Linked DNA regions of Kluyveromyces lactis. The protein of the gene in region 7 purifies or fractionates together with the protein of the main gene of each other region. This does not show direct contact. Links are inferred from orthologs where the notes say so. Each region holds a gene or a part of one and is shown on either strand. Other genes may lie near its edges. The genes, in order: BRR2, PRP46, PRP45, CUS1, RSE1, CWC2 and CLF1.

Region 1 (4,833 bases), on a different chromosome or scaffold from region 7:
CAGTAGCCTTCTCCTTGATCGGAATTGGACAACGCTCGACGAGTTTCTCTAATTCAGTTTTCTCTTCTTGTCTTACGGTAATGTTCTTAAACTCTTCTGACATAGCAAATATTCTCAGAATGTCGATCAAAGTGCTGTTTATTGTTAACTCCCGGTTGTATTTTGCAATTGACGAATAACTTATGTAGAAATGAGAGGATATTCTACCTAGCTCAGTTGGTTGTACCGACTTAGAAAGAGAGTCATAGTTTACAAGACCGTTATTCTGTAATAAATTCAACGCCGTATGCACAATATTTCTGTTGACTCTTATGAGCTCAGCATCACTCATGTCTCCTGAAGAACCTTGCAAGTTGTATAAATGAGGTGATTGCTTCATCCGTACTGATAAATAGGAATAACCCAACCAGTTAACTGCTTCATCTAGTGAGGTGACGTTACCTAGAACTATTTCAGCATTAAGATTATCAACAACTTTTGAAATCATTTGAGATTCTATAGGGAGTTGTTGGTTCAACACAGCGAGATAATAACGTACGTCTGATTGGTTTGTAATAATGATCCCTTCACCATTTACGTCGTATCTCGGCCTACCAGCTCTTCCTAACATTTGAAGGATATCTTGTGGGGGAAGCATGACCCAATCACTTTTCTCCGGTGAATACATTTCTGTACCTTTAATTATGACAGTGTGGGCAGGAAGGTTAACACCCCATGCTAAAGTTGCTGTGGAAACAAGAACTTTTAGCAAACCATCAGCAAAAAGGTCTTCGGATAAAGATCTATCATCCTTTGTAAGGCCTGCATGATGGATACCGAATCCATAAGGTATAAGGTCGGAGAGCGATCTATCAGTAGCATTACTGGATTCTGTCTTGAGGATTTCCAAGGAACCTTTATCGGTACCTTGGAACGCACTTATTTTATCTTCATTTATAAGTTTTTGAATAAGCCACCTAGCAGTTCTAGCAGTATCCTTTCTCGAATGAACGAAAATGATAACTTGGTGTCCTTCTTTTGCGGCCTCCAATAATTTATCATAGCATGCCTGGTTCATGGCATTCTTCTTCTTTAAAGCATTTTTCTCAGTGATGCCACAATACTGTTGTGCTAAAGGACATGGCCTGAAAGTTGAATCAAAATAAAATAAGCCATTATCAGGAACATGAAGGAACTTGGCCACGTCAATGTAGTTTGGTAAAGTGGCAGAAAGTGCAACAAGCCTCGTAGGAATTTCTGCCGTTGTGTCCCGTAGAACCCTTGCTACTATTGATTCAATGACCGGACCTCTTTCATCATGTAATAAATGGACCTCATCTATGATGATCAAACGTACGAGTTTGTGAAAGCTAGTGTCTGTTGATTTTCTTGTGATTACATCCCATTTTTCCGGAGTTGCTACTAAGAGTTGGGTTTCTTCGATTTGCTGCTTAGATAAGTTGGAATCACCTGTAAGCTCTGCTACCTTCACTCCAAAATGATGTAACCTTCTTTGAAATTCTCTGACTTGTTCTTGTACCAATGCCTTGAGCGGTGCGATATAAACCACTTTAAATTTTTTCAAATCGAAGGCATTTCTCTCTTCCCGATAGTAATGGGACATTGCTCTTAGTACAGTCAACATTGCTACGTTAGTTTTACCAGCACCTGTGGGGGCACATAGTAATACATTAGCGTCTGTATTGAAAGCAGTGGGGTAGACCTCAGATTGAATTCTGTTTAGTGAAGTCGTTTCAGACGTAGGGAAAGCACTGCGAGCCCATTTCGGTAGGCTCTCGATCTGTACAAGCGGGAAATTGTCATCAACCTTCTTGGGCGGGGGAACGTGAATTTCTTCATAGCTATCTTTGACTCTTTTGAATGAGTTTTCAGGTAACGAAATTTTCACGTCTGACAAAAACTTGGTATTCTGCGATAATTTAAGGTCATCGAGGGCAATTACTTTGGGTTCATCTTCAGCTTCTATTTTTTGTTTTTTGGTTCCAACTTCTGGCTCTGAATTCAACTTTCTTTTAGCAGAATCAGGTTTCGCCTTATATGCTTCTACCAAGTGTGATAAATTTCTTTGTGCCATTTCCCCTAGAATTTCGTCAATGTTCTCGTTCGCAGACCTCTGTAAGTTGTGACCCCAGTACAATGTCTCCCTATTTGAGACTATTAGCCTAATCAATTGTTTCGCATCAGGTCCGAAAATATCGTGGAGATTTTGGGTCAGTTCCTCTTCAGAGATGTCGTTTGCGAGCAGGTCGTATACGTTATTGGCCATTTCCTGAACCTTTGTCTCTTCAATATTTTTCAGTTGTTTCCTGATCTTCCTCTGAAGATAAAATCCATCAATATCTTTGATATCTATTATTTCTTCCATGACAGCTGCACTCTGTATTTGCAAAGATTCTGAATTATTCATTATGTCACTTCGTACAGAAAAATTATCATTACTATTGTCTGTTTTTTCATTATAACCCGCTTCTTCATCGGCCTCTTCCCCTGCCACGTCATCTACAGCTTCTAGTAGAGCATTTGGTTCCTCTTCTTCTTCTGCTTCGTCATCATCTTCATTGGGATTTATCGCTACATTTACTGTTCTACCGGTATCGGCGGATTCTGCGTAGTAATCAGAGATACTTTTCACGAGCTTTACAAGTGAGTTGAATGAAGCGTTGTCTAATTCAGTATCCAAAGCTACTTCAATAGTCTTTTTCTTGCTCTCTAGGTCTACACTTTCATCCTGCTTCAAAGTTACTATTATCAAATCTGTTGCGTCTACTATAATGGAATGCGGTATATCATCACCGAGTATCTCAGAACACCATGTAGTTATCTCATCGTATATCTCAGTATTTCTATCATCAGTCGGTATGTAGTTCAAAGACGTTATATCGTCAAGTACCGTGGTTCTGTCCAGCCTTGAGCTATTCGTCTGCTGAGGCGATGAGCTTTTCATACGCTTTTCGAATTCTTTCTCTGCTGTAGCACGCTCGTTATCTTCTAATCCGTTCTCCTTAACGGCAGATCCCATTTCAGTAAGCCTGATTCTACCAGACATAGACTTCGGCTGTGATATTTCCGCATCACGATGCACATCCGTCCTGTTCTCTATCAAACTTCTATCAGCGCGTAGTACCTGATTTGACATTTCATCATAACGGTAAATCTCTTTGATTTTCTGCTTTCTTTCTTTAGCATCTTCGGTCATCTCTCTGTCTAAGTATGTACCTTATCAGTACTGACTATTGCTTGATTTCAACTCGCTCTATGTGCATTTTAGATACCACATCTAAGCTATACGATGTTATTCCATTCATATAATTCATATTCGACTAGCAAATATCAAATGGAATGCTTAATTTCAATGTGCGGGTAAGCTAGATATTTCCACAGTCAGAGATTAGCACTCAATATAAGAGAATACAGATTGAAGAGAGGTAAACTACTCTTAATACCAAATTATATACCGAATAGCTCGCCAAGACGGAGCTCGGCCGTTTTGCAGAATTGAACTAAACGACATTACATTTATTTTCGTCATAAATTGAGGAATTTTAATGATGTTATAGCATGTCAACTCCTAGTTTGAAACGATCTATCAGTGAAATCAGCGATAGGATAAGCAGAGCATCCCCAAGAAAGGATAAGAAGGTGAAACGATCATCTACGTCGGTTCCTTCCTTTCCTTACACGAATTTGGATCATGTGGATTTGACACGACCTAGTGGAGAACGGACGTTGCCAAGTGAGCTGCAATGGTATGACAAATTTAGTCCGAAGAGAGTTGATGACATCGCATTGCATAAGAAGAAGATAGAGGAAGTACGGTATTATTTAGAGGGTATGGTCTCAGGGAAATCAGATGAACGGATTCTTCTGTTAAGTGGGCCTGCAGGTTGTTCTAAAAGTACTTGTGTTAAGCTTATAAGCGATGAGATAGTGCCTCGTTATAGAGCTACGTCAGGACTCACAGTGAGTGGAAGGGAAGTTCCGAATTTTACAGAATATCTTACAGATATGAGTAGCGTTTCACCATCTGAGTCGTTTGATGATTTTTTGCTTCAATCTAAGTACTTAATCGGTAGGAATTTGTCAGTACTTCTTGTCGAAGATCTGCCGAATGTTTTCCACGAGTCAACGTTGAAAAGGTTCAGGGAGAGTATTCTCTCGTGGCTCTTTGCTTCTGATCGTCTACCACCACTGGTGATTTGTCTTACTGAATGTCAACTACTGGACTCGAATTCTACTAATTCATCATTTGGAATAGATTCTACCTTCATTTCAGAAACAATCTTGGGCAAAGATATCTTGATGCACCCGTTGTTGCATCGAATTAAGTTTAATCCCATCAATGCAACATTAATGACGAAGCATTTAAAGCAGATAATACAGAAAGTTAGAAGAGAAATCCCCTCAGAGAAATACCAAAGAAGTGGCACTTTCATTAAGAACCTTGCATCTAGTACAGGTGATATTCGATCTGGCATCGCGGCATTACAATTCTGGTGCACTTCTAGCTTTGATGAAACTAATAGTATTTTCACGAGAGAAAGTTCAACAAGTTATTTCCATGGTATTGGTAAGGTAATATATGGATCGAAGGATAATGAAAATGATAGGTATATGATAAATGAGCTTGTTGACGGCGGAACAATTGCCAATGACACGTTCAAATTGGGTATCCTGGAGAATTTCTCTAAATTAAACAAATCACAGTTCCCGCTGCACTATGCTGCAGATGTTGTGGACACATTGAGTATAACGGACACACTACGACCTCTAGAAGAAGAACCTCTGTATTATTGTCTTGGGAAAGTTAGAAATATTTCTAGCGATGTGAAAAGT
Region 2 (3,808 bases), about 610 kb from region 7:
TTCTGCTGTCACTGGTCTTGCACGAATAAACTTCGTTTCGCGGAGGTCTTCATCAAAGTCATCCTCGTCCTGTTTGGCTTGGTCATCAGACTCAGCAGCAGATGTTTCGTCAACAACAAGGTCACCTTCGATGACATTCAATCCAAATAATTTAATCCTTTCGCTAGCGACCATGTTCCAAACATAACTTTGGTAAGCATGCACATACATAGTTCTCAAGTTTCTAGGAATCTTTAGAATAGCATTGTGATATGAGCTAATAGGGTAATCGTTTGATGTTTCACATTTCTCCTCATGACATAGTGCATTGAGAATGGCATTTTCTGCCAAACACTGATGTGGCATTGCTTTGGCTGCATAGATTGGGTTCCTGGTTTGTGCCCAAATTCTTCTAGCTTCTTTGGAAATTGGCAAAACATTTTCTTGTTCAGCCATGATCAAATCAACAGCTTGTTTCCAGTTACCTGATAATAGGACTTGCCCAATTTGATGCGTTGAAACACTGAACGTACCAAATCTTTGCATACCGAAATAATTGATGAACCCATTTTGTTCCAAGGATTTCATGCCATTGGCTAGGATATCATCCAAATCATCGCCTTCATTCTTCAATGAAACATCTCTGATAGCAATAGTGAATTCGTTTCCCTGTAGATCTCCCAAGTTCAATGGCTCATCTTCGAATTTGTAGCCACCTAGAACGACACCCTTCAAGCCCTTGTTTAGTCCGTTTAATCTGTCCAAACCAATTTTGGATAAAGACATTCTTTGACAAGTGACAGCCCTACGATCCTTTGTTCCAGAAAATCTGATCAACCTTGTTGGAATTCTCATGAATTTTGATAAAGTATTAGCGACATCCATAGTATCTTTGTTTTCCTTATAGACAGTAAAATGAATAAACGATTTTGATGGACCATAACCCCAGTTTTCGACACCGTTTGCATCCTTAGTTTGTTCGATCAATTCTTCTTTGCTAACACGTGTTTGGCGAGAAGCCATTCCAACAATGAAATGGTTTGAATCCGTCGTTACAGATTCTAACTTGTTGTCGAAAGCTCTACGTAGCAGTTGATGTATTTTAGTCCTTTCAAGTTTATCATCGAATGCCTTCGATGTTTCAATCTTTTTATTTGAGCGGTACACAGCTTCAATTTTTTGAACATCCTCTTCTCCCAAAAGTTCAACAAGTTCATTTCTAATTCCTTCATCCACCTTAAATCCTTGGCGTTTCTCAAGTTCTTCTTTTTGCGATTGCTCGATTTGTTCTCTCGTTGGCTTTGGCTTCTTTGGCATATTAAAACCTTTGTCAGTCAAATGCACAACTTCGCCTTGCTTGGTGATTTCATTGACTAAAAAGTCAGTGTACCTTTGTTTGATCTGACCATTGAAACCAACATTATCCATTGATAAGTAATGCGTGATACCAACATCCTTTTCAGTGATGTTGTTATTGTTTATACCTTCATTTATACCTTCACCAACTTTTGTCCTCTTAATATCTTCTTGCTGGGCAGCAGCTTCGGACTCTCTTTTCAAAGATTGGTCTGACATTATACCAATACTATACTTTAACACGAGAGTACTAATACCTGGTACTTGTTATAAGCAATTAAGAAGCGCAGCTTCCAGATTTGAACAACTGACTTCTGCTTCAATGTGATGAGATGAGATGAGATGAGCTCGAAATTTTTCAAGAAACGAAAAGAACCGTTTTGTATGATGGATATTATGAAAAGTTAACGAAGTGACATATACAAAGATGAAAGAGAGTTACACGACTTAATCGAACTGATAGACAACTAATAAGTACCAATGAATACATCCAGCCGTAGCTCTGAACCTTCGAAGGTAGCAGATGATGTTTACGTTCAAACTCGGTGGAATAATGAATTTAAACATGCTGATTATTTACCTGAGTCGTTACAGAAGTGCCTGGATCAAGAAAAGACTGTTTTAGAAAGGTACAGTGAATTAGTTGAGGTGTCGAAAACTGTTGCAAACGAAAGCTCTCAAGCATTAGTCAAACATACCACAAAACCAGGCGACCAACTAGTACGAAGAGTGTTCCAACAGCCACATCAGCAGATTTCATTGATGGAACGTTATGAAAAGACTCGAAGTTATAAACCGCAATGGCATGCACCATGGAAACTCAGTAAGGTAATAAATGGTCATACTGGATGGGTAAGATGTGTATGCGTGGACCCCGTTGACAATGAATGGTTTGCTACTGGTAGCAACGATACAACCATTAAAATCTGGGATTTAGCTGCGGGAAAGTTGAAAATTACTCTAATCGGGCATGTAATGAGTGTTCGAGATATTGCTATCTCAAAGAGACATCCTTATATGTTCTCAGCAAGCGAAGATAAACTTGTAAAATGTTGGGATCTAGAAAGAAATACTGCAATTAGGGATTTTCACGGTCATTTATCTGGCGTGCATACCGTTGATGTTCATCCGAGCCTTGATATAATAGCTACTGCTGGTCGTGATGCTGTAGTAAGGTTGTGGGATATACGATCAAGATCTGAGATAATGGTTCTGCCCGGTCATAAAAGCCCTATAAATAAAGTCAAATGCCTTCCCGTTGACCCACAAATAATCAGTTGTTCCGGGGATGCAACAGTTAGACTTTGGGATATCATTGCAGGGAAGGCAAGCAAAGTTTTAACGCACCATAGTAGAAACATCAGAGACTTGACGCTACACCCAGCAGAGTTTAGCTTTGCCAGTGTATCTACGAACGACGTCAGATCCTGGAAATTGCCCGAAGGACAGCTATTAACCAACTTTCAATCCCAGAACACTGGGATTTTGAATACCGTATCAATTAATCACGATAATGTACTATTAGCTGGTGGAGATGACGGTACTTTGTGCTTTTACGATTACAAAACAGGACACAAATACCAAAGTATGATGACAACTGAAGTTGCTGGCTCACTTGAAAGTGAGCGATCGATTTTATGCAGCACCTTTGATGTCACAGGAACAAGACTCATCACAGGGGAAGGAGACAAAAGCATCAAAATATGGAAGCAAGTCCCTGATGCTACAGAAGATACATTCCCTGGCTTGCCGTGGAATCCCACGTTAATATCTCAAAGATTCTAATCTAGCTGGTGTCTACTTGCAGCGACTTATGTAGAAGTTTGTAGTTTAACTCTATTAGGTCCCCGTTTTCCATCTATCTAGAATATTTCAGTCTGCATTAATTGCGAGGTTTGCTCTAACTGTCATATGATTACAGTCACGTAGTCAAGGACAGGGAACGTCAGGTTTTCTTGTATGTTTGTTCAAGCATGGTGTTTGCTTTAATACGGTAATCTGAATAAATTAACTGAAATTTAGCATCTTCAAAATATTTGAACTTATTAGTTACGCAATAAACCAAATCCAAAAACAGAGCACCTCTGTAAGAGGAACTAGTAAGGCAAGGCAACTGTTTAACAAATATTTTGGGCGAGCTCGCTAATACATGAGTCACGGCGAAGAAAAGGAACCTGGGATTCCCCAGAAGGTTGACAGCATCGATGAGATTTTCGTTGGATGCAAGTCATGGGTACTAAAAGATGGTCAAGATCGTCTTGCTGAAATTCTATCCATTAACAGCAGAAGAGATCCACCTAAGTTCTACGTGCATTATGAAGACTTCAATAAACGTCTAGATGAATGGATCACTGCTGATAGGTTACAGATAGACAAGGAAGTCATTTTTCCTAGGCCTAAAGAGCTTGAAGAGAAGAAAGACTCGAAGAAAAAGAAGCAGCAACAGAATAAAAGTGCTACACCACAAGCAGCC
Region 3 (4,069 bases), about 1.4 Mb from region 7:
TTTTGCTTCACACAGGAACTTGAAAAAGATCTTATAGAGGCCTTTAAGTCATATGGAAACCAGAATACTGTTTATCAAGTTCAGTTTAACAACATCTCATCAGCATATCAAAGATTGTTGTTAAAATCTACGCAGATGTTACGGAAAGCTGCTAAACTCGTTGATTCGTTTAGCACCCAATGGAAAAGTATATCAGATAACATGAAAGCCAGCAAATATGACGATATGAACATCGATGAGATGGCAAAGATGGCGGAGGAAAAGTTAGCTGTAGATGAACTAGCATACAACGAAAAAATAAAGGAACAAGAAAGACAAAGGGAGGAAAAAAAGAATTCCAGTCTTTCACAAAAAAACACATCATCTTCATCTTCCATAACTTCAAATTCTTCCTCATTAAACGTTTCTCCAAATATTTTATCGCCTTTAAGACTGAGCCGGACATCTTCAGTTTCGCGGTCAGAAGAATCAAGGTCCCCATCATCACCAATACCTTTCACTGATGCGAAGTCTAATATATCGGCTAAAAAGACCAGATCAGTCAGAACAAGAAACAGATCGTCATCATTGCAATCAGTATCAAGTCTTGAAGATACTTCCACTGCTCGGAATGGTATGAGATCCAATTCTCTTCAATCAGGTTCTCTGAATACACAAAGAATTGTACAGAATGCATATTCAAAAGCATTACTCTCGTTAAATGAGAAAAGAGGCCCAAGACTAACACCAACAAAGCTGAATAATTCTATAAGATCAAAATCACCTTCTCCAACTGTGTCACGGCAGAATTCCGTAAAACAGAGGAACAAAGTGAACATATTGAAGCTAAATGAAGTAGACGAAGATGACATCAATGAGAAATTCCACGATCTGAAGCTGGACGATGATACTCTAATCGTCTCTCAGGAAGTGTTATCTCCAGAAGGTAGTGAAACTCCTAAGATCATAGTTTCTGTTGCCGATGACAATCAGTCGTCTTCAAACAACGACAGCGAAGTTGAAGGTATTGTGAAAAAGGTGAGATTTATAGGGGTTCCGCCTATGTCACAAGATGAAAACCCTGAGCCTAAAAGACGCGGATGGTACAAGAAGCCTGCCGTGTTGCATTATCCACCTCCACCTGCACAGCACTCACTTCAAAAATTCAGAACAACTCAAGAGGGTCTTGCATTTCGCACAAGTTTGATCTCCAGAGACCAAGGTTCTGATAAAAAGTTCGGTTTTGACAGCATGTACTCATCAGGTCAAGGGGCGGATACTAAAATAGTGGGTAAAATCAAGGATAAACTGTTTAAATAGAAAGAATCTTTTAATTTCTATTTGCAGTGAACTTATTTCCATTATAATATCAACTTTTAACAATGTATTTGAAATTTAGAGAAAATATTTAACTATTGAACATTCCCATAATTTATAAAGTAAAGTAGGTAAGGCTTGAAACATAGGAACAAACCTGTTATAACACCACTAGAACGGTCTGACATGTCATTCAGGACACTCAGCTCATTGCTACCGAGTCCGCAAAACTCAGAAGTCTCCGAGTCTTCAGCATTTTCTAGACAATCTAAGGAAAACATAAAGGATACAATAATATTAGACAAGCTACGACCGGAGAATCTACCAGTGGCCTCAATATCTGACTTTGTACCTCTTAGACAACGTGATATATCACTAGAGGCACCGTTCCCATCGACATCACAGATTAATCAAACATATGTAAAGACTAAGGCGTTTCTAGACTCGCTGCTAACGAAAAAGAGCTCTCTACAATTATCGTCTATTGCGAACAAGGACATCGTAAAAAGAGAAGCAATAAGCTCTGTAAAATCTGGTACTCAACGTTCAGTTAAAGTAATAGAACATAAGAAGGATCCTTTACAACCGGTAACACACAGGAAAAGGAAGGTCGTTGTACCATCGGAAGAAATTCAGGCGCCTATACTTCATAAGTCGGATGACCCTAGTATTAAACCTACAAAGGAAGAGCTTGATAAATGGAGAATTCCATCCGCCATTTCGAACTGGAAGAATCCTAACGGATTTGCTATTTCTTTGGATAATAGAGTTGCTATTGAATCAATAAAGACGGACTGCCCAGATAATGATAAGAAGGACAATTTCCTTCTGCTATCTGAGGCACTAGACGAAGCAGAAAGAGAAGCAAGACAGAGAATCAACATTAAGCAAGAGGCGTACAAGGAGTTAGAGAAGGAAGAAACTTTAAAAAAAGAACAAAGGTTACGTCACTTAGCTGAACGTGCTAGACAGGATAGGGAAAATAGGCGACAGTACGAAAATGAAGATCATTATGTTAGGGAAATGGAGCGTAATCAACGTAGGAGAGCAGAACGCGAATTGGAACGGTCGAATAAAATGAGCACAGCAGAAAAGTTAAGACGATTGGCGTACCAACAAGGAAGAGATGTTTCTGATAAAGTTGTTTTAAATGCTGCAAAAGCCACCGAGACCCCAGATCTTCAGTACGATTCCCGCTTGTTCAAGAAAGCGGCATCATCTGTGGCATCATCTTCAAATCAAATTTTCGACCATCCATTGTTCAATAATAGCCAGATTGACAACATTTACAGGCCAACTACTGGTTCTAACTTAGAAAACGAAGATATTGTTGATCGACTCTCAAATAAGAAAGGAAGAACTGGACCGGTAGAGTTCTCCGCTGCTGATGATGGCAAAAATGCGGAACAGAATGAGGAAGATAACGAGCATGCCAGAGAATACGGTCTTCAAGTGCGTAAGAAGCCTCATACTTCTTAATTGTGCGATACCGATATACTGATATAATTGTATGTAATAATATTCAAGCACTACTAATTGAATGAAATCAGCGAATCAGTCATTATTTTCATCGTCAGTGATTGAAGAAAACTCATCATTCCTATCATCTGTCAGAAGTATTCGGTTCAAACGGTGACTTCTTCTGATAGCAAATAACTCAACTTTTTTAATAGTTCCGCTAACTTTTATTGGATTCATTATGATGGGCCCAACAGATTCAATCTGGTTCATCAAAGCAAGTGCCATTATTACGTACTGATGGTCATCATGGCCACATCGTATTATACCGGTTGATGTTCTATTCGAAAAGTATTTGATCTGTAACAAAGCCGTAGCCTTTCCCAAGCCATAGTCCCCGAAATTCACCTGTAATTGTTTTCGTAGTTCCTGCAAAATATTTCTCGGACTGATAGTATTTGGTGATACTTTGTGATGCGTGGTTAAAATGTCCTTCTTGGTTATATCTGGCACTGTTTCGTACTCATCATCTACATCTGGATATAGTACTTCGAAAAGAATGTATCTGCTCTTTAAACGAACCATTGGATTTCTTCTATTTTGCCTATTATGACAGCAAGTTTTATTAATAGTAGGATGAAACCCCCGAATAAACGTTGTTGCACAACCGTCCTTTATCAAAATCTTGATTCCTTCACAGTTGATCTCCATCATAACTCTAAATCTTGTAATGTGAAGCATCTCTCTTTTTTTTTTTTTTTTTTTTTTTTTTGGTTTGTCGCATTCAAGTCACAGAAGAAGAACGAGAATACGCCAAGCATGTCCAATATTTTATGCATTATTGCCGCATCACCAACCTTAACTAACAGATTGTGTAAATATCAGATAATTCATTCTCTATATAACAAAAGGCGTAGCATATCTTTCAAGTAATATCATATATAGTTGAGTTGAAAATCAGAGTTCTCATGCATATATTTACAAAACTTTGAGACTTGAGATTAACTTCAAGCCAATCGTAGCCAAAGAGTTTATATTAAAGCGGGTGAAATTAGATAGTCAGTCTCTCTTTTAGCAAGGCTTCAACTTCCGCAACAGCGGAGTCAATACCGTTTGGTTTGTCACCCATACCTTGGAAGACATTTCCCTTACCACCAGCTTTACCACCGATGCTAGAGGATACTGTTTTGGCTAAACTAGAACCATCAACACCTTGAGCAATTGCTGCGTCAGATATGTAGCATCCGTGAGCAACCTTTCCGTCTGGTTCATTACAAGTGAATAAGTAGATAGACTTGTCCTTCGAGTTTGTTTT
Region 4 (4,039 bases), about 850 kb from region 7:
TCTAAAACTCTTTCCAAGGATTCTTTATCGTTGCCTGCCTTCTTGTACAAAAGATCATTCTTGTACATGATACATTCGTTGTTCTCATACATTTCTGGTTCACCCAACTTGCCTTCAGCAAGCTCTTCAAATGTCGAAAGAGTATTGATTGCGTCTTGCGTACGCCCATTCAAATCTTGTGCTATGGCCAATGAGGTCCAATTGGCACGATATCCTCTGTAGTTTTCCCAGTACTTTTTTCTCGATTCCAGCGCGCCTTTGAAATCATGAATTTGAGATTGCAATGTCGCCAAATCTCTATAGATTTGAGTGTTTGTAGAACCATTTTCTAATGCGGCCTTGAACCACTTTACAGCGTCTGAGTAATTTTTCACCTGTCTGTAATAAATTCCTAATAAGTGTCCACCAATTGGACTTACAAGAGTGCCTTTAATTTTGGATAACGCTTTATCAATGTAACTAGCAGCTTCTTCAGGTGTACTACAGAATTGCAAGTTCAATCCCTTCAAAATTATAGAGTCCACATGACTGCTGTTCTTCTTCAAGATTGTGTCCAAGATCTTCAACGACTTCTTGTAATTTTTACCTTCATATAGTTGCAGTGCTTCCAACATATTGCTGTCATCCTTAGACCTACCAATTGGAAGTCCCACTTTCCCGTGAGATAGTCCCTTTTTTTTATACATGCTAGTGTAGATCAATGGGTCGCTGAGTGTAGATAAGCAAGCCAGTAAGAGTGTTTCTCCATTTATTCAGTCATGAATATGATTGTTGAACTTGATAATTTTCATGATTTAGACGTTGACTATTGTAAATTTTTCAGTTTAGAGATACATTGAAAATGAAATGTTTGGGTTTGAACGAACTGAAGGTAATAGTTAGCAAGCGGAGCTGGTACGATTCAAGGAGTTTATTACTCACCTACTGCAATAAAGTTAAAACATGTTGCAATCCAATGATACTTTTGATATAGTTACATACTCACATTTACAAATATTTTACGTAATTAAAGGGAAACAGCTGACACTTTTGAAACGTAGGGTTTCTAACGAGTTAATGTAAAGATCAAAAACGGAAGTCAGGCTCTTCTTCCACTTTCTGTTTTTTATGTAAGACATTATCATCGTCCTTCTCCTCTACGCTTGTTGATCGTTTGTTCGTAATATTGTAAGAGGTAGTGGAACTGATTATTGTAGATCCGTCGACTTCGTTTGATTTAGCTTCCGTTAGAACAGTAAATAAGGGTCTATTTTCATCATAGTGCTGGTTGACTACAGAGCCTCCATCAATTGGCACTAAGCCTGAATTATTGTTTTCATGTGTCTCGCTTTCTGTTTTTGTTGCTTCCGCTTCATTGGCGTCTGAAGACACCTCATCGTCGGAAATTGATTCGTTCAACGGATCTGGATCAATATGTGCGTCTTGATCTTCTAATTCTTCAAATGAGAACATGGCTCCGAATAAGTTTTGTTTGGGTATTCTCAAAGTATCTTCAGGGTAGTATCCGTATTGTGTACCGGTAAGATTAGAGATTTCCCAATTTATTCCACAGACTTTCATACCAGGGTATGATTTGGGTAGTCCTAATCTATTCATTTCATGACACCAAGGCGGGAGCATCCCCTCCGTGAGATTTAATGCCTCCCTTAAAGTTTCCGATAGATACCCTGGTCTATATCGTGTCTTTATTTGTTTCCATTCGAGTTCACTATCCAAACTTCTGTTTTCATAATATAAATCACCAAATGACAATAGTTCAGGTTTCCAATTCTTTCCCAAAGTGAAAAATGCTTCGTACAACCTTTTATAATCTAGATCTAATACACCTAGCTTGGGTTGAACTTTTGCTCTGGTAATATCCTTCAATTTCTCTGCTTGCTTTTCGTTTCCAGAGGGAACAGTCTCTCGCATCGTTTCAATATCGGTTTGTCTAATAATCTCAGGTAATTGAAATGGCTTCCTTTCCATCATTGATCGTCCAGATAAATAACCTCTTTTCATTTGCCAATGTCTGGGGATCCCCACTGTATTATGTGTTGTCTTTATAGCTGCATTGAAATAAGGCCATTGCGCATCGCAGTCAAACCATTCGATGAGTTCCGGATATGGTACTGAAGCTTTCAAAACAGCAATACTTGGTTTGTTAGCAAGTCTCTTTTGTCTTTCTGATATATTTTGAAGTACTTCATCCGCTTGATCCTCAAAACTGTCGGAACCCTCAGCATCCTCATCGTCAATATCAGCCCGTTCTTTTCGTACTATGGCTTGTTCCCGTTTTGAATCATCATCCTCATCGGCCCCTGTAGCCGAAGCTTTAAATCTTTGTAACACTTTATTGAGACTTTCATCCTTGATAACTAAAGGTTCATTAATTACCTGTTGCGAGGTGTTGCCATTCTCTGATGACACTTGTTGTAACAAACTGGAAAGCCTCTTCTTCCTTTCTTCTGCATCCTCTTTCACAGATCCATTTTTATTCTTTGAACGGCGTTTATTAGCCTTGGCTTTCTTTACCATAGTGCAATATCTGGTGGGCAGTTGACTGTTGTTATATTAATAAGCAGTCGAGCCAGAATACTATTGTATGCTCATCTGTCAATTTGCCTTTTTTATGTCCTTTATTAAGACCACATATATTTTTCAATTAAATGTTGAAATTTATACCATTATATTATACGTGAACAGATATGGCAACATTCAACGGTCTTGTATACATGTGATAGATGCTATATGACTATGGATAATAACGAATCACTCTTCTAAATTCTTGAGTCTATCGTTGATTGAATCGGCGAATTTGTTAAATTGTACATCATCGTCATTCACTTTCCGCAGTAAGTCCTGTAACTTTTGCTGAATATCTGAGGCTATCTCAAACACGGTGGGAACATCTTCGTTGGAATTACCACTATTTTCTGATCCTTTTGGTTCAGGGGTAACAATTGGTTGTGTCGAAATCATCTTTTGAAGTGATGACTGCATGTATATGGCTGTATGTAAGCTAGATCAATAGACTTCAAGGTATGTCGGTTCTATGACATTTACATTTTTTTTAGTTATTTGAATCCGATCCAAATTTTGGTGATACAAATGATACATGGAGGTGATGAGACTAACAATGGCGAGAACGCCAGCTGGTCTATTTTGTCCATGATAGCCTATTAGGTATACAGATGAGTTGGAAAGGGGTTTTTGCAAGTTCATTTCCCAAAGATACTTTACAGAAGTATATTGCTGCCAATGAGAGCATCGCCAACTCTACCGTTTTTCAAGGTACGCTATATGAGCTCACGGTGGTACGAGAATTAATGAATAAGCTCCGACTGGAGGATATGCAGGTAGTTGGCGGTTCATATGATGGCGGCATTGATATTCGGGGCAAATGGAACGTTTTACCATTAACAAAGGCTATAGAAATGCAAATACAATTCGATGAGCTACCTAAACGTTTGAAACTTCCGACTACATCGATAAAACCATGGAAACATAGGGTGAAACCCGATAAATATTTAGACTGTTACATTCAATGTAAGGCTTTCAATTCAGATAAAGTTACTGGCCGCCAGGTACGGGAATTAATTGGATCATTCTCCATGCAAGTTCCCGCTCGTAAAAGAAACTCGAGCATAATGATAATGAGCTCTCCAACTTTGTTTACAAAAGATGGAATAAGGCTGTTTAATGAGGCCGCAATACCAATGGTATTTACCAAAGTGGATATGATCCAGAGATTAGCTGATGGAAGCTTCGATGTGAAAAACTCGGGAAAACTACAGCATTATTATGAGAATGACTATGCATCGAAATTACTTGCAAATTGTGGAATCAAAGAATGGTTAAAATTGAAAGGTTATGAGTCCTTAGCACAAAAATGAAATATTAGCACGCAATTACGCTATCAGAAAAGTTTAAATAGAATGAAACCTGTACATATGATGAATGTAATAAATATGATATGCTAATTAATTTAAAGATGTATAAATTTATAAAGGTTGTGTATCTGATTATGCAGCGCATGAAAACGAGATAGGAATGTATA
Region 5 (4,765 bases), on a different chromosome or scaffold from region 7:
AATGCAGTTACTTGGGTAATATATGGTGGCATTTCGGTGATGCTTTTCCTCAACAATTGTTTTTTACCTAGTCCAAATAGGACAACATTGCCAAGAATGCAACATGCCAATTTATCTCCAAACGAAACCATGGCATTGACCTTACTATGCACCATTGTTTCATGAATGTATTGGGTTTCAAGAACGTTGTTCTTCACTCGAATTTGAATCACAATAAATTTCCCTGATTCAGTAGATATGACAATATATTTAACATTTGTACCGAAATTGCAACTACAGACAGCATTAAAGACCTCTTTAGCAATAATCACGACCGTATTCCCATTGTTTGTTGCCAATAGCTTATCATCGCGAATAGCTGATAGACTGGTTTCTTTATTAGCTGTCTTTGAAATAACATATGATAACGAATTGTCCGTTGTATCTGAAAGGATCCGTTGTGATTGATAACCAACGATTTCGTACTTCTCACTTGCATCTTCATCCTCATCTTCATCCTCATCTTCATCCTCTTCTTCATTGCCAGCGTTTTTAAGTTCGTCATTAACAAGGGTATACTTTTTCTCATTGAACCAGTTACTCCAGGACAAAAAGTTATCTAATTTGCCGATTAGGAGTTGCCCTTTGCTGGTTATGGAACAGCAGCCGTTGCGCTTGATATCATCCGTGATAAAAGCATTTATATGTTTCAAGGTTATCCCCTCATCTGTTTTCAAAGGACGTAATGTGATTTTATCATCAATTTCGTAAGTTACCCAAGATATGCTTGAATTCAATACCACTAGTGGAGTGAAATCCGAAATCTTCTTCTTGAAATCGTCTATTTTTGAATCATTTTCTCCAGGTTCATCATCATCATCATCTTTGTGATTGATATCTATATTGTCCAAGAGATTTACCTGGACGGGCTTCGTTCCGACAAATCTAGTACGTACATCGAACACTGTGCCATCATTGATATTGAGTTTAGATGACAGATAAACACCACTTTTCATACCTACGTGGATCTTAAGATCCGACGTGTCCCGCATGAAAAGTAGAGAGTGCGGTTTTGATATTAGTGACTGAATAGCACAGATAGTGAAAAAATCTGGATGTTTACTCTGTAAGTTGAGAATCTGCAGACTAGAATCTTCACATCCTAATACACAATAGCCTGACTTTTGACCGGCGAGCAATGCAATAGAATTCACTGTAGAATCCATCTCCACTCGATCCTGTAATTCGTTTAACGAATCTTCTATGATTTCAAAATAGCATATTTCATGATTTGTTAAAGCGACAACTAACTGTGTCTCATTACAAAATGCTGTCACGATGCCAACACCAGCTGGTGGATACCATTCAAGTTTTTTGGTGTATGGACCATCATGCATTTCAATAATTTGTAAAAGACAATCCCGAGTAACTTGAATAATACTTCTTTGAACCATAGCGCCAACAAACAATGATGGTTTGTTCAAAATAAATGGGTTTGAATCTCCACCAAAATCTTCGACAGTTCCCTCATGGATCTTCAAGATGGTCGTTGAGGTTTCCATAGAAAGAAATATCAGACTGTGAGTTTCGTTTTTAGGAATTCTAACGGTCCAAAGTTTTGATGGTATTCTAGGTAATGTAGTTGATATAAGTTCTTCAAAATCAACCGCAGAAGTCAATTTAACAAGATTCTCAGTTTGATTGGCTGCAGCCAATATCGTGAGTGGTGTCGAATTTGATGCATGAAATGACGTCAAGGGATTTAAAGAAGTTAAGGAGTCAAGAATGGATAGGTTTTTCAAAGTGGACTCTGTTTCAATAAATGATCTCCTTCCCGGGGTATAAGATGTAATTTTTTCTAGATCTTCACCAAGACTTTCGAACTGTGTTAAATAAGAGGTCCCGAATTCTGATACGTTGAAAAGAGCACCTGACTTGAAAATGTGGATGTCTTCAGAAGTGGGGAGTGTATCAAAGTATGCAATTTCAAGAACTGGCGCCTTAGTTTCTTCATCAGGGATAATTCCGACCTTGTACATATCTCCGTGGTTAGACTGCATTAGGATGAAAAAATCTTTCTTCAATTTATGAATAGTACCGTTGATGATATTAGTTGACGAAACAGTTTTTCTGACGGGGAGTTGAACAGACACTTCATAAAAGCCTTCTAAGTCTATCAGAGTCAAGTATCCATCATAACCACAAATAACAAATGGATTTACCGAATCTTGATCAGTTTCATCATTCGGTCTAGTTTTAATCTTATACTGTTGTAAATTTGGGCATTGCATAACGAAATTGATGGATTTATCCTCTAAAAGATGCTCTTTCCGGAGTAGCAACGTGTTAAGACCCAAATCCATTGTATAAAAAGACAAATAGTAATCATTTGTCCCAGATTCTACCTCTATGGCAGCATTCACCGGATTATCAAAACTTACATCACAAGCTGCCGATGCCAAAGTGATTCTATCACTTCGTTGAATCTCTATAGGAGAACCAACAACCAATTTCCCACGTTGCCAGTCAGCCAACACGCACATCTTTGAACGCTCAATCCCACTGAAAAATACACATCTACTCTGTGGATCCGAAACCATTTGATATTGAGGTACAAACCTTCTGATCCCAGATCTGGAAATCGGTTCGTTTGCCAAAGTACGCACGTACACTTTCCCGCTCACGGAATCCCTCTCAAACTGCCAAAATGTTAAATTCCCAGAATCAGTTATCAACACCAAAATCGTATGTGAACATCTATCCATATTCAACTTGGTCATAGAAAGAATAGTAGCTGCTATAGGCCATTTACCCAACGCATCCAATGTTCCATTGCTAACATCGTACAATTCGACACAATCCTGTGTAGCTAGACATAATTGCAGTTCCTTCCGCTTCTTCGATGACCTCGGTCCCTTAACACTTGTTGTATCAGCTTCTGCTGTCGCTAATGATGATCTATCCAAAGTAAAATCACCGATGCAGGAATGAACGTAGTTCCTATGTCGTTGTAAAACAGTGTGCCATAGCAACACTTCAGAGTCCTGAGTCATCCGATCTTCGTTAGCGGGTAACTAAACACACGCTTCAGACGATGATCAGAGGTGTATACTGATGGTAATCAGTAGTGTTGTTCGTCAACTTGCACTCAAGAAGTGCGCTGTTGTTAGTTACTTTGTTTACTTTCAGATTTGGTTTTTTGCCGCCCTTATGAAGAAGTTAGGAAATACTATTTCAAAAACTTACACGTGACCAACAAATCCCAAAAAGTCAACAACATGTTACCCTGACATCACGTCACACGAAAAGATGCGATCACGTGACCAGAATGACATGAGACTCCACATTGTTTCGGAAAAACTTCTGTTGGAGCAGGAGCGAAGTGCTCGTTCAAAGCGGAATAAGAAAACACAGAAACATACGCAAAGGCTGTTTATCGCTCCATATGGACGGAAAAACTTACGATGAAGAGAGCGTACAGGCATGCTTGTACGTTGAGAAAGAAAGGCACACAGTCATTGTTTTAATCCATTACGAGATCAGCATGTAATTCGATACTACTTGTTCCCTTACCGGCACTGGCTCTGGCACTGGTGTCGTTAAACGGTATCACGTTTTGGTAACCCCACAAATGTGCACCTGATGGTGCAGAAACGTAAATATGGTTCACCAAGTTCAAAGCACAAGGCGTATTACGCTACTAACTCTAAGTAGGTGTTTCTCTTCTTCAGAAAAGAAAAACACCGTATGAGGATTCAAATGCCATAGCTTGACTGGTAGACACTCTGTATTGGTTTTTTTGACTTTCTCTTCTGGTCAGAGGAGCAAGTATGAGAAAACTCTTTGTCTGTCTCTACACGTTGATTTATACATTGTTACTGGGGAAATATTAATCGGCCGCATACAGATATCGGGTGGACTCATATTGGCAGATCAGCTCTGTGTGTGTGTTTATTTTTTTCTTCTTCCTCTCTGTGTGTCCGTTCCTTTTCACCAGGAAAAACCTTAATAATATATAATAACGGAAACATGACATATGCTAAAACTTGGTAAGTACGAAATGTTTTCTTCTAGGATAAAAGGCTGAACTCTAGAGTGTAATTTACTACACCAAAGCAAATTTGCCATCCGAACCAACCAGAGACGGTATAAGGTTAAGATCAGATTACAACAAAGCAGTGCTAGTTACTATACTCAGTACTTTTTCAAGATTTATCAGAGAGGAAGGCGAATATTTCCGGTTTTGTGGGAAAATTAACATCAATAACCAATAGCAAACTAGTCGCAATGGAGGTTTACGTGCGTATGAATGATGATTTAGAGTACGATTATGCGTTTCAAGTACAAAAAGATGATACTTTAGAACAAAAAATTGCCTTAATATTTAATAAGGAAAAGGGTCTTTCAAGGTTTATGGTTTTGAAGCCATCAATTTTTTATAAGAACGAACCATCTGGTTTCAGGAAATCCATGCATCCTGGTTTCTTAACTGAGAATGGATGTTTATTGTTCGATTACTCTGCAGATGATTCAGAGTATTTAGAGGATTTGGAAGTTTCAAAGAAAACCGTTTGGGAACAATTGTGGCCTGGTCAATTAGTATTACCAAAATGGGAGAAGGACTGGAAAACAATCTGGACTTTTGTAACTATAATGCTGGTATGGTTGTACACTGATTTACCAGATTGTATTTCTCCAACGCCAGGTATCTGTCTTACAAATCAACTTTCTAAGAGATTTGCTAGTCTCGCTGATAACGCTGGTCTAACATTCGTAGCTGAAAAAT
Region 6 (3,646 bases), on a different chromosome or scaffold from region 7:
AACGTTTCTTTAGTAGTGAATCTACAATTTCCTAAGTCGTTTGACAGCTTTGTGCATCGTGTAGGTAGAACTGGACGTGCTGGTAAAACTGGTACTGCACTTACTTTTCTAACCGAGGAGGAAGATCATTCTGCCATGGCTAAATTGTTCGATTATGTCAAAAAGAACGACTTCACCGGAGAAAATTACATCTCAAAAGAAGCTATGTCGAAATACAATGTTGACAAATCTTCATACAAACCAATTATTATATGAAAGGACTAGACTTTTTTCCTTGAAATTTTAGAGTCATGCAATATGAATTAGAGTATTTAACGTAAATAGTTACAGTGTGCTAGCTAATAATGCATTTAGGATTCCAGGTCAATCCTGGAAATACCCAATGGTCTGACGATTCATGCGTTCTTGTTTGAGCCTGTGCCTTGTCTTCCATTTTTTCGGATGTCTGATTCAAAATTATCGTGTTTTTTGATGAAGGCCAAACCGTAGACTGACGAAGTTCAAGTAAGTGAACTCGACAAAACAACTTCGACATAATTTGAAAACCAGGCATTGATAGCTTTTATATTCATTTCAAATATTTGCAATGTCAGTAAAACAAATCTGAAATCCGCTAGATGTTGTTCATGACGGCAACCAGTAATCCAAAATATACCTAATCTGGAAAAGTCAATGTGTCACATGACTTCACGAAATCTAGTCTTCATCAGATGAATATTGGGTTACCAAAGGTAAAACCGACGATGGTTTTGAAACTGTTATATTTGCAGCAACGTTGGTATTGGTAATAGTCACTTTCCTTTGTTTCAACTTATCTAAAATAGTCTTATCTATGATTGCATTCTCCCTAATGCTGAATCTTTCACGACTGTTCGCCTGCGAATCTCTCACTTCGTTGATTTCTTCAACTTTACGTTTTTGATTTACAGTGCCTTCAGTACTAGCCACTAGTTGTTTTATAGCTTTCAAAGTCTCTTGGGTTTGTTCTTCCAATTCTCTCTTTCGTACAGCTGGATTAGGATCCTCGTTCGCCCATTTCACAAGCAACCCAGTTCCCTCCTTCCTTAGATCCCACTCTTTATCGGTTGGTATTAATAGAGTCTGATTGCCCATTGCTTCCTTAGTAAATTCGGAGTTACACTGTAATTTGAACTTGACAAAGGCACAATTCTTACTCTCCACGTATCGAACAGAATCCAATTCTCCAAGTTTCCCGAACTTGTATTTCACTCTATTCTCAATCTGATGTGGTTTCAAAGTTTTGTTGTTGAGTGCCCCTGTAATACCACCCACGTATAAGACACGGTTAGGTTTCTTGAAGGAACCTACCCCACCCATATCATCTCTATAATCAGCAAATTTCTCTCTTCCAAAACAATCTAACGCAGAGGAATGCAAAGCTAACCTCGCAAAATCATCTGGCTCTGGAATATGATGCAAGTACCGACAATTTTTGCCTAAACAGCACATTCCCTTAGCGAAATACAAACAGAAATGAATCCGACCCTCTTTATCACCTTTAGTGATACCAGAATCGTTCTCGGGATCAAGCGAGTACGGTGTGACGAACCTAGTGGACCCACTTTGCCCCTGTGACCATTTGTTGTACCATACGTTGAAAGCCAAACCCGTCTGAGGCGGTACTGATGAAGGTAGGTCAGACTCCTGTAACTGAACCCTTGCTGGTCGGTTCTTCCAATCCCCAGTCATAATATATTGATGACGATGACCTTAATATTTGGCAATTTGCCAAACCAAGTATTCTTTAATGACCTCGAACAAGCAAACAGTTTGAACCGTCCAATTTATGCAACAACAGATACCGTATTATAACGGTGAAAACTGTATCTTGTCGAGCACACATCTTCCATGTTCATCTCATCGCAGGCCAAAGTGTTTTCAATAAACTTCAAGGTTGGAACTTTTCTTTAGTGAAAACGATCATGATCAAAAACAAAATGGAAACGAAAAAAAGATAAGTCTCCCGGGGGCGAGTCGAACGCCCGATCTCCAGATTACAAATTGCTTTGTGTTTTCAAATTACAGTCTGGCGCCTTAAACCAACTTGGCTACCGAGAGAAGTTACTTGTGTGTTGTAATTTTCAATGATGCTATAACCAAACTTCAAGGTTTACTAAGACTACATTGCCTGACATTAAGAGGTATATGGAGTATTTAAACCTTTTAAAGTATTTAATTATACAAGTGAAGTGATCACAGGACAATAATGCCCTGCACCTGGAACAGCTAATTTCTCCTACAGAGTTTAATCATTGTACATATTGTTCGCCATTTAAAACTCCAAGTTTTGTATGAAATTAAAGGGACTCATCCAGAATAATGTTAGGCGATGGACATTTCTACAACTGCTATGTACCACCTCCGAAACAAGACGCTGGCACGATATTCTGAAAAGTTGTTTATGTGTCGCATGGATTAATTTATGTCGTCCCTACTGTAATTGATACTTTATTTCTTTTTCATGTTACTCGGTACTGGAAAATTTTCATTTTTTGTTAACAAAAAGAAGAGCGATGAGTATGAGAATTGAACTGTTGAATGAATCGATGAACCTATCTTGCTGATGTGATATTGATTCCTTTCTCAATCAATTGCTCGCTCTATTTGAACCAGGGGAACAGTGAAGAACTATACATAATAACAAAGATGGCCAAGGATAAGAGTGTATCAACAGAAGACAACTACGAAGCTAGACTTCCTGCCGTTCTACCATTTGCAAAACCTCTAGCATCAAAGAAACTGAACAAAAAGGTGTTAAAGACCGTCAAGAAGGCTTCCAAGGCTAAGAATGTCAAAAGAGGTGTCAAAGAGGTTGTCAAGGCTTTGAGAAAGGGTGATAAAGGGTTAGTAGTCATTGCTGGTGATATTTTCCCACAAGATGTTATTTCTCACTTGCCAGTTTTGTGTGAAGACCAATCTGTTCCATATATCTTTGTGCCCTCGAAGCAAGATCTAGGTTCTGCTGGTGCCACCAAGAGACCTACTTCTGTTGTATTCATCGTTCCAGGCTCTAACAAGAAGAAAGATGCTAAGGCTAAGGAAGAAGAATACCGTGCTGCATTCGATGAAATTGTTAAGGAAGTAAGCTCTTTGTAGAGATATGAAAACTGTCGACAGAACAACCGGAAAAGAGAAAGTTATAATCGCAAAACACCGAGTGTTTCGTTAATTGCTTCCTGGTGTTGGCTTGTTTAATTAACCCCAACTACTTCCACTTCACAACTACTATTTTTGAACTCTTCTTGCAATGCATATACTGAGACTGCAAGACTAATTTCCAATTGGCATATACCAGTTGATTCGAGCATCTACTTACACCCACCTATCTGTAAAATAAATATTAATATCTATGTACCGAAGTCATCAAATCATATAGATTACTATCGTTAAAAGCACTCTGCAATTTGTGTATTCTGTCTCGATTTGTATACCAGCGTTTTTTCTAACAGTAACAGAAACCAAATAAAAGAAAACATCATATTAAGTAACATTCGTGAAGTACTAACGGAATATGTTGCCCAAGATTAAGATAACCTTCCATCCCATTAATTAAGATCCTATATAAGGGATACAAGCACTCTATAATGTATGGAAAGAAAAGGCAGAGACCGGCCTCTGCAGACTT
Region 7 (4,494 bases):
TACTTTGAAGAAGCTTCAACAAGAATCGGGATGTAAGATTTCCATCAGAGGACGAGGATCCGTCAGATCAGGTAAAGCTGCTGCAGACCTACCGAAAGGTGCAATGAATATGAATGAGCCATTGCACTGCATCATTATTGCAGATGTAGAGGACAAAATACCATTAGGAATCAAGGCCTGTGAAAGTATAGTCGTCAAGGCGATCACTTCACCTGAAGGTCAAAATGATTTGAAGCGAGGTCAGTTGAGAGAGCTTGCTGTTTTGAATGGTACACTAAGAGAAGATAACTATGTACAAACATTCGGAAGAAAGAGAATTGGAATAGAGGTCGCTTCCGACGCAGCCAAAAGATTCAAAAATGCAGAATCTAACATCCACGACCAAAGCACTATCGTAAATACTCATAGACTAACCCCTATGATGCAAATTTCTATTGATGGACTAGGAGGTGATGGGATTACTGCTACAGCGGGCTCCAACTCTTCTGTAGGTTCACCTTCTTCTGTTTCAGCCAGATCCGAATCTCTGGCTGCAGAAAATTCAACGTCTGGAATAGGTATCACTGAAGGAAACTTAAATATTGCTACTCCAGGAATGGCACCCCCAGGTTTATCTCCTCCCGGAATGGCAGCACCAGGAATGGCAGCACCAGGAATGGCAGCACCAGGATTGGCAGCACCAGGATTGGCAGCACCAGGATTGGCAGCACCAGGATTGGCAGCACCAGGATTGGCAGCACCAGGATTGGCAGCACCAGGATTGGCAGCAGCACCAGGCAACGTTCCTCCAGGATTAATGCCCCCAGGATCTGTACCGACAATGAATGCACCTGGGCTTACCCCTTCTACGATATCAACACCCAGTTCGATACCGTCAAACCAGTTGCCACAAAGTTTTACCGATAATGAAACGAATAATTAATACAATTCGTATTTTTTCTCAATAGCCTATATGCCAACCTGATTAAATGCGTGTTCTAAATCTACAATTGTATTATCTGTATATGAATATAAAGTTACATATCAGCTGGAATTTTTCTCCCATTGTTTTGCCAAAGCTAGAAGATTTCGAGCAATAGGAGGTTGAGCAACACGATCGTCCGGAAAATCCAATTTATATGACTCTTGCTCAATGTTATCGATAGTAACTTTTTCCCTAACCAAACTTGGTTGTCTAGCATTGACCTTTTCCAAAGTTTCTTGATTACCATGAACTTTCTCATACTCCAGGAGAGATTGTAAAACTTGCTGGCGTTTCTTATCTTCATTATGTTCTTTGAAATATGAAATTGCCTTCTCAAAAATAGCCCTGGTGTGATGCTTATTCTCAGGTGTAATTTCAAAACTGAACTCCTCTTCGCCATCGTCGTCAAAATTCCCGTCTTGATGAGATTGTTGATAGGCTATTAGTTGGGTCTCAGTTGGAATAGTGCTCTCGAAAAGCGCCTGGTTTATCCATATGTTCACGTCATATCTACTCAAAATCAAATACTTCTCGTACAACTCTCTAGCCTTTTCATATTCTGCTGCATCAGTTTCAAAAGCGATATAGCGCTGAATGACAATCAGCTGGTCCGATTCAGATAATCCAACATTATTGCTCATGGAGATATCATAGATCCCTCTTGATCTATCTTCATCTCCTAAATTTTCTTCTAATTCTGCATAATCCAACCATGATTGCACTGAACTAGGATTGAAATCGATGTATTTCTCGTATAGCTTTCTCACTCTATCAAACTCTTTTAGCCTTATCTCCAAATTGATGTAATATTTAAACACTTTTGGCTTGGGGGACTTTCCTAAGCTCACACCCAGAATTTTTCTTGCTTTCAGCAAGTTGTTCTGCCTAATTTCGAATTCTGCATACATTATCCACAGTTTACCGAATGTAAACTTCTTATGTGGAATGATGTCGAGGATGTCTTGATAAACCGAGCGTATCGTAGGCAAATCATTAATGGTGAGCTCTAGATAGACCAAGTATCGTACGCAGATTCTTATGTACCTCTTCCAGCTCGAATCCTTTACCAGGGACTTCGGCTTTGCCAATTCAATGAACGACTGGAAAGCTGATGTCAATTGCTCTTGATATTTTTCCTCAACCAGGTCAATATAGACCCACCAAGTAGAATAATGATAGGGATCTGATTTTAGATATTGCTCGTACTCGGCTTTCCTTTTAGCGATTACTATGTCCTCCATATTTTTCGAAGAGCCGAACTTCTTCTCGAACTGAATCTGCTGTTCCTTTAATGCTTCAGAAATTGGCCATCTTTCAACTGCTAGTCGGTATAACGTTCTAGATCGTTCATACTCTCCCTGAGAAGCTTCCCAGGAAGCGAAGCTACCAATAACTCGTTCAATATCTACCAGTGGTGTTCCGCTGAAACTTGTGAGTGTGTCTAGCGCGAATGAGAACACTGTTCGTACGGATGATATATCTCCATGAGTTTGTTCAAAACGAACCCATTTCAACCAGGTATCTATTTGAGGATGGACTAGAACAAACTTCGAGTAAATGTTCCTGACATTTTCAAAATTCAAGCACCTTGTTTCGAACTCGATGAAGGAGTCCCATGCATCGGGACCAGGTTCAAATGAACACCATCTTGTATAAATGCCTCGTACAATACCCTGATTTCCCAAAGATTCTTCCAATAAAAGATATTTGAACCAGAGCTTATCAACACGAGGAAGAGCGTTTGTTGCTCTGTCTAACAAGTTCCTTGCATGGTTGATATTTTTCCATTTGATTTCACTGTCGATGTATTGAATCCATAGTGGAATAAACCCATGATCAACAAGAAGAGCGCGTTCATAAATGGACCTAGCTCTTCGTATATCTTTCTGATCAAATTCAAATTGAGCATACCTCATCCATTGACGAAGGTCTAACCTATTTCTTTTCAAAACTGTCTCATACTCTGTTCTTTTCCTTCGTTGCCAGTCTTTCAGTTCTTCCAAATCTAATATATCTGCCTTCGTAGTAGCTGCAATCTGCTTCTTTTGGCTAAAGGCATCCTTCAAAATATTATCGGCAGTGATGGCTTCATTGGATAAACTATTGTCACCCATGTTACAGTATAGTCAGGTAAGTTATCCGTGTTTTTCTTACTTTTGTTTGCATCGTTGTCGTTAAGTTCATCTGTTTCTACAATTATAATGTTCGCACTAAATTTGATATCTGAATCATTATGTATTTATAAGGTTCATTCATGCATACAAGGAAAAGCAACAAGCATGTGTTACATCCTTCCTTTGTTTGATAATTGGACGGTCGTGTAAATGTAAATTATGTCATTCATAGTGTTAGCTTCCAATAATTATAGTCGTTTTATTAAATGCAGAGTAATTCCTCCAGGTATTTATCTGCAAAATACTTATACACATACGTATCTTGAGGTTTCGCAATGCAATGACACATGGCTCTCAACAACCGCCTCTTAAAGTTAGAACAAGATGTAAAAGAGATCCATCTTGCAAGTCGGCACTGCCGATTGTTGCGTTATCATCTCTGATTTAAAGATAGCATTACTTACTAGTTAGTAAAAGAGTCCCTACATTAATTTGATATCAAACTCTTCTCAGTTCTGAATTATCAGTTAATTAACATACATTTGTTTGCCCTGGAAGATCAACTTCTGCTGTGATGGTGGAATACCCTCTTTTTCTTCTAATAGCTCTTTGATATGATAGACCGTTTCTGAACTTTGAACATCTACGGAGATTTCCTTCCCTGTTAATGTCTTGACCTTTAATTGCATCTTTCTCAACCACAAACAAGCAACTGATTGTCGATTCTCTGAAAATGGTGATTAATAGTTGTATCAAACAGTAGACTAGTTGTTAAGCTTCAATTTAATTACTTTCTTTTAGATGACCTTTTGCATACGTTATTGTTCAATATCAACTTTTCAAATACAATATTATATATGCGATGACTTCCATGTTTGAAAAGATACAGGTGCAGAACAGATATTGATGCGAGCTATAGCTCATCAGGGCTTAGGATAACAGGGCGATGCTAGCTACACCATACGTCTCTTATGATTATAATAAAGTATACGAGCCAAGCGAGGACTCTTTTCTTTTATTAGATGCATTAGAAGCTGATCTGAGTTGGTTGAATAACAGGTTCAATGACGCAGTACCATTGACTATAGAAATTGGTTCTGGTTCTGGGATAGTCTCTACGTTTCTTATGCAAAATGGTATACCAAACGCCAATGGACTTTATTTGGCAACTGATTTGAACCCTTGGGCATTGGACGCTACCTTAGACACTTGTTCGAAGAATGGTTGCAAGAATAGCCATTTTGATGTATTACAAACAGACCTTACGTCTTCAATAAGGGAAAATGAGGTCGACCTGCTTGTCTTTAATCCACCATATGTACCTGCAGAAACTGTACCAGAACTGCCTCATTCAAATCATGCTGTTCGTGATGATGAGTGGCTCTTTCTAGCATTGGATGGTGGTGATGATGGGAT

What was found.
Region 1: the proteins of CLF1 (region 7) and BRR2 purify together in Saccharomyces cerevisiae (affinity purification with mass spectrometry; 4 studies listed by BioGRID). This does not show direct contact. The link is inferred for Kluyveromyces lactis from reciprocal best matches to the Saccharomyces cerevisiae genes CLF1 and BRR2.
Region 2: the proteins of CLF1 (region 7) and PRP46 purify together in Saccharomyces cerevisiae (affinity purification with mass spectrometry; 4 studies listed by BioGRID). This does not show direct contact. The link is inferred for Kluyveromyces lactis from reciprocal best matches to the Saccharomyces cerevisiae genes CLF1 and PRP46.
Region 3: the proteins of CLF1 (region 7) and PRP45 purify together in Saccharomyces cerevisiae (affinity purification with mass spectrometry; 4 studies listed by BioGRID). This does not show direct contact. The link is inferred for Kluyveromyces lactis from reciprocal best matches to the Saccharomyces cerevisiae genes CLF1 and PRP45.
Region 4: the proteins of CLF1 (region 7) and CUS1 purify together in Saccharomyces cerevisiae (affinity purification with mass spectrometry; 3 studies listed by BioGRID). This does not show direct contact. The link is inferred for Kluyveromyces lactis from reciprocal best matches to the Saccharomyces cerevisiae genes CLF1 and CUS1.
Region 5: the proteins of CLF1 (region 7) and RSE1 purify together in Saccharomyces cerevisiae (affinity purification with mass spectrometry, with the first as the bait; 4 studies listed by BioGRID). This does not show direct contact. The link is inferred for Kluyveromyces lactis from reciprocal best matches to the Saccharomyces cerevisiae genes CLF1 and RSE1.
Region 6: the proteins of CLF1 (region 7) and CWC2 purify together in Saccharomyces cerevisiae (affinity purification with mass spectrometry; 6 studies listed by BioGRID, with this or other methods). This does not show direct contact. The link is inferred for Kluyveromyces lactis from reciprocal best matches to the Saccharomyces cerevisiae genes CLF1 and CWC2.

What each region holds. Positions count from the first base shown.
Region 1 is NC_006039.1:1,583,006-1,587,838, forward strand, and holds the start of BRR2 (ATP-dependent RNA helicase BRR2), read right to left. Parts: upstream 3,197-4,833; coding exon 1-3,196. Other genes in the region: RAD24 (Rad24p), read left to right, coding at 3,559-4,833.
Region 2 is NC_006042.1:1,034,020-1,037,827, reverse strand, and holds PRP46 (mRNA splicing protein PRP46), read left to right. Parts: upstream 1-1,815; coding exon 1,816-3,120; downstream 3,121-3,808. Other genes in the region: pseudouridine synthase PUS7, read right to left, coding at 1-1,554; NuA4 histone acetyltransferase complex catalytic subunit ESA1, read left to right, coding at 3,485-3,808. UniProt on the Saccharomyces cerevisiae protein: Involved in pre-mRNA splicing. May also be required for cell cycle progression at G2/M.
Region 3 is NC_006042.1:223,455-227,523, reverse strand, and holds PRP45 (mRNA splicing protein PRP45), read left to right. Parts: upstream 1-1,482; coding exon 1,483-2,775; downstream 2,776-4,069. Other genes in the region: protein phosphatase regulator GIP4, read left to right, coding at 1-1,299; RNA-binding protein POP5, read right to left, coding at 2,851-3,495; ALA1 (alanine--tRNA ligase), read right to left, coding at 3,806-4,069. UniProt on the Saccharomyces cerevisiae protein: Involved in pre-mRNA splicing. Associated with the spliceosome throughout the splicing reactions, until after the second catalytic step.
Region 4 is NC_006042.1:789,794-793,832, forward strand, and holds CUS1 (U2 snRNP complex subunit CUS1), read right to left. Parts: upstream 2,518-4,039; coding exon 1,066-2,517; downstream 1-1,065. Other genes in the region: peptide alpha-N-acetyltransferase complex A subunit NAT1, read right to left, coding at 1-686; BIL1 (Bil1p), read right to left, coding at 2,752-2,982; RRG7 (Rrg7p), read left to right, coding at 3,174-3,875. UniProt on the Saccharomyces cerevisiae protein: Essential splicing protein required for U2 snRNP binding to pre-mRNA during spliceosome assembly.
Region 5 is NC_006037.1:720,484-725,248, reverse strand, and holds the start of RSE1 (U2 snRNP complex subunit RSE1), read right to left. Parts: upstream 3,033-4,765; coding exon 1-3,032. Other genes in the region: GSF2 (Gsf2p), read left to right, coding at 4,267-4,765. UniProt on the Saccharomyces cerevisiae protein: Involved in G2/M transition. Required for pre-mRNA splicing and endoplasmic reticulum (ER) to Golgi secretion pathway. U2 snRNPs associated protein required for the pre-spliceosome assembly.
Region 6 is NC_006039.1:1,336,048-1,339,693, reverse strand, and holds CWC2 (active spliceosome conformation promoter CWC2), read right to left. Parts: upstream 1,711-3,646; coding exon 697-1,710; downstream 1-696. Other genes in the region: mRNA splicing protein PRP28, read left to right, coding at 1-255; snoRNA-binding protein NHP2, read left to right, coding at 2,668-3,117; SNU56 (Snu56p), read left to right, coding at 3,606-3,646. UniProt on the Saccharomyces cerevisiae protein: Involved in the first step of pre-mRNA splicing. Required for cell growth and cell cycle control. Plays a role in the levels of the U1, U4, U5 and U6 snRNAs and the maintenance of the U4/U6 snRNA complex.
Region 7 is NC_006042.1:1,644,176-1,648,669, reverse strand, and holds CLF1 (Clf1p), read right to left. Parts: upstream 3,079-4,494; coding exon 1,024-3,078; downstream 1-1,023. Other genes in the region: mRNA splicing protein MSL5, read left to right, coding at 1-922; NEDD8 family protein RUB1, read right to left, coding at 3,433-3,517, 3,619-3,767; MTQ2 (S-adenosylmethionine-dependent methyltransferase), read left to right, coding at 4,025-4,494. UniProt on the Saccharomyces cerevisiae protein: Involved in pre-mRNA splicing and cell cycle progression. Required for the spliceosome assembly by promoting the functional integration of the U4/U6.U5 tri-snRNP particle into the U1-, U2-dependent pre-spliceosome.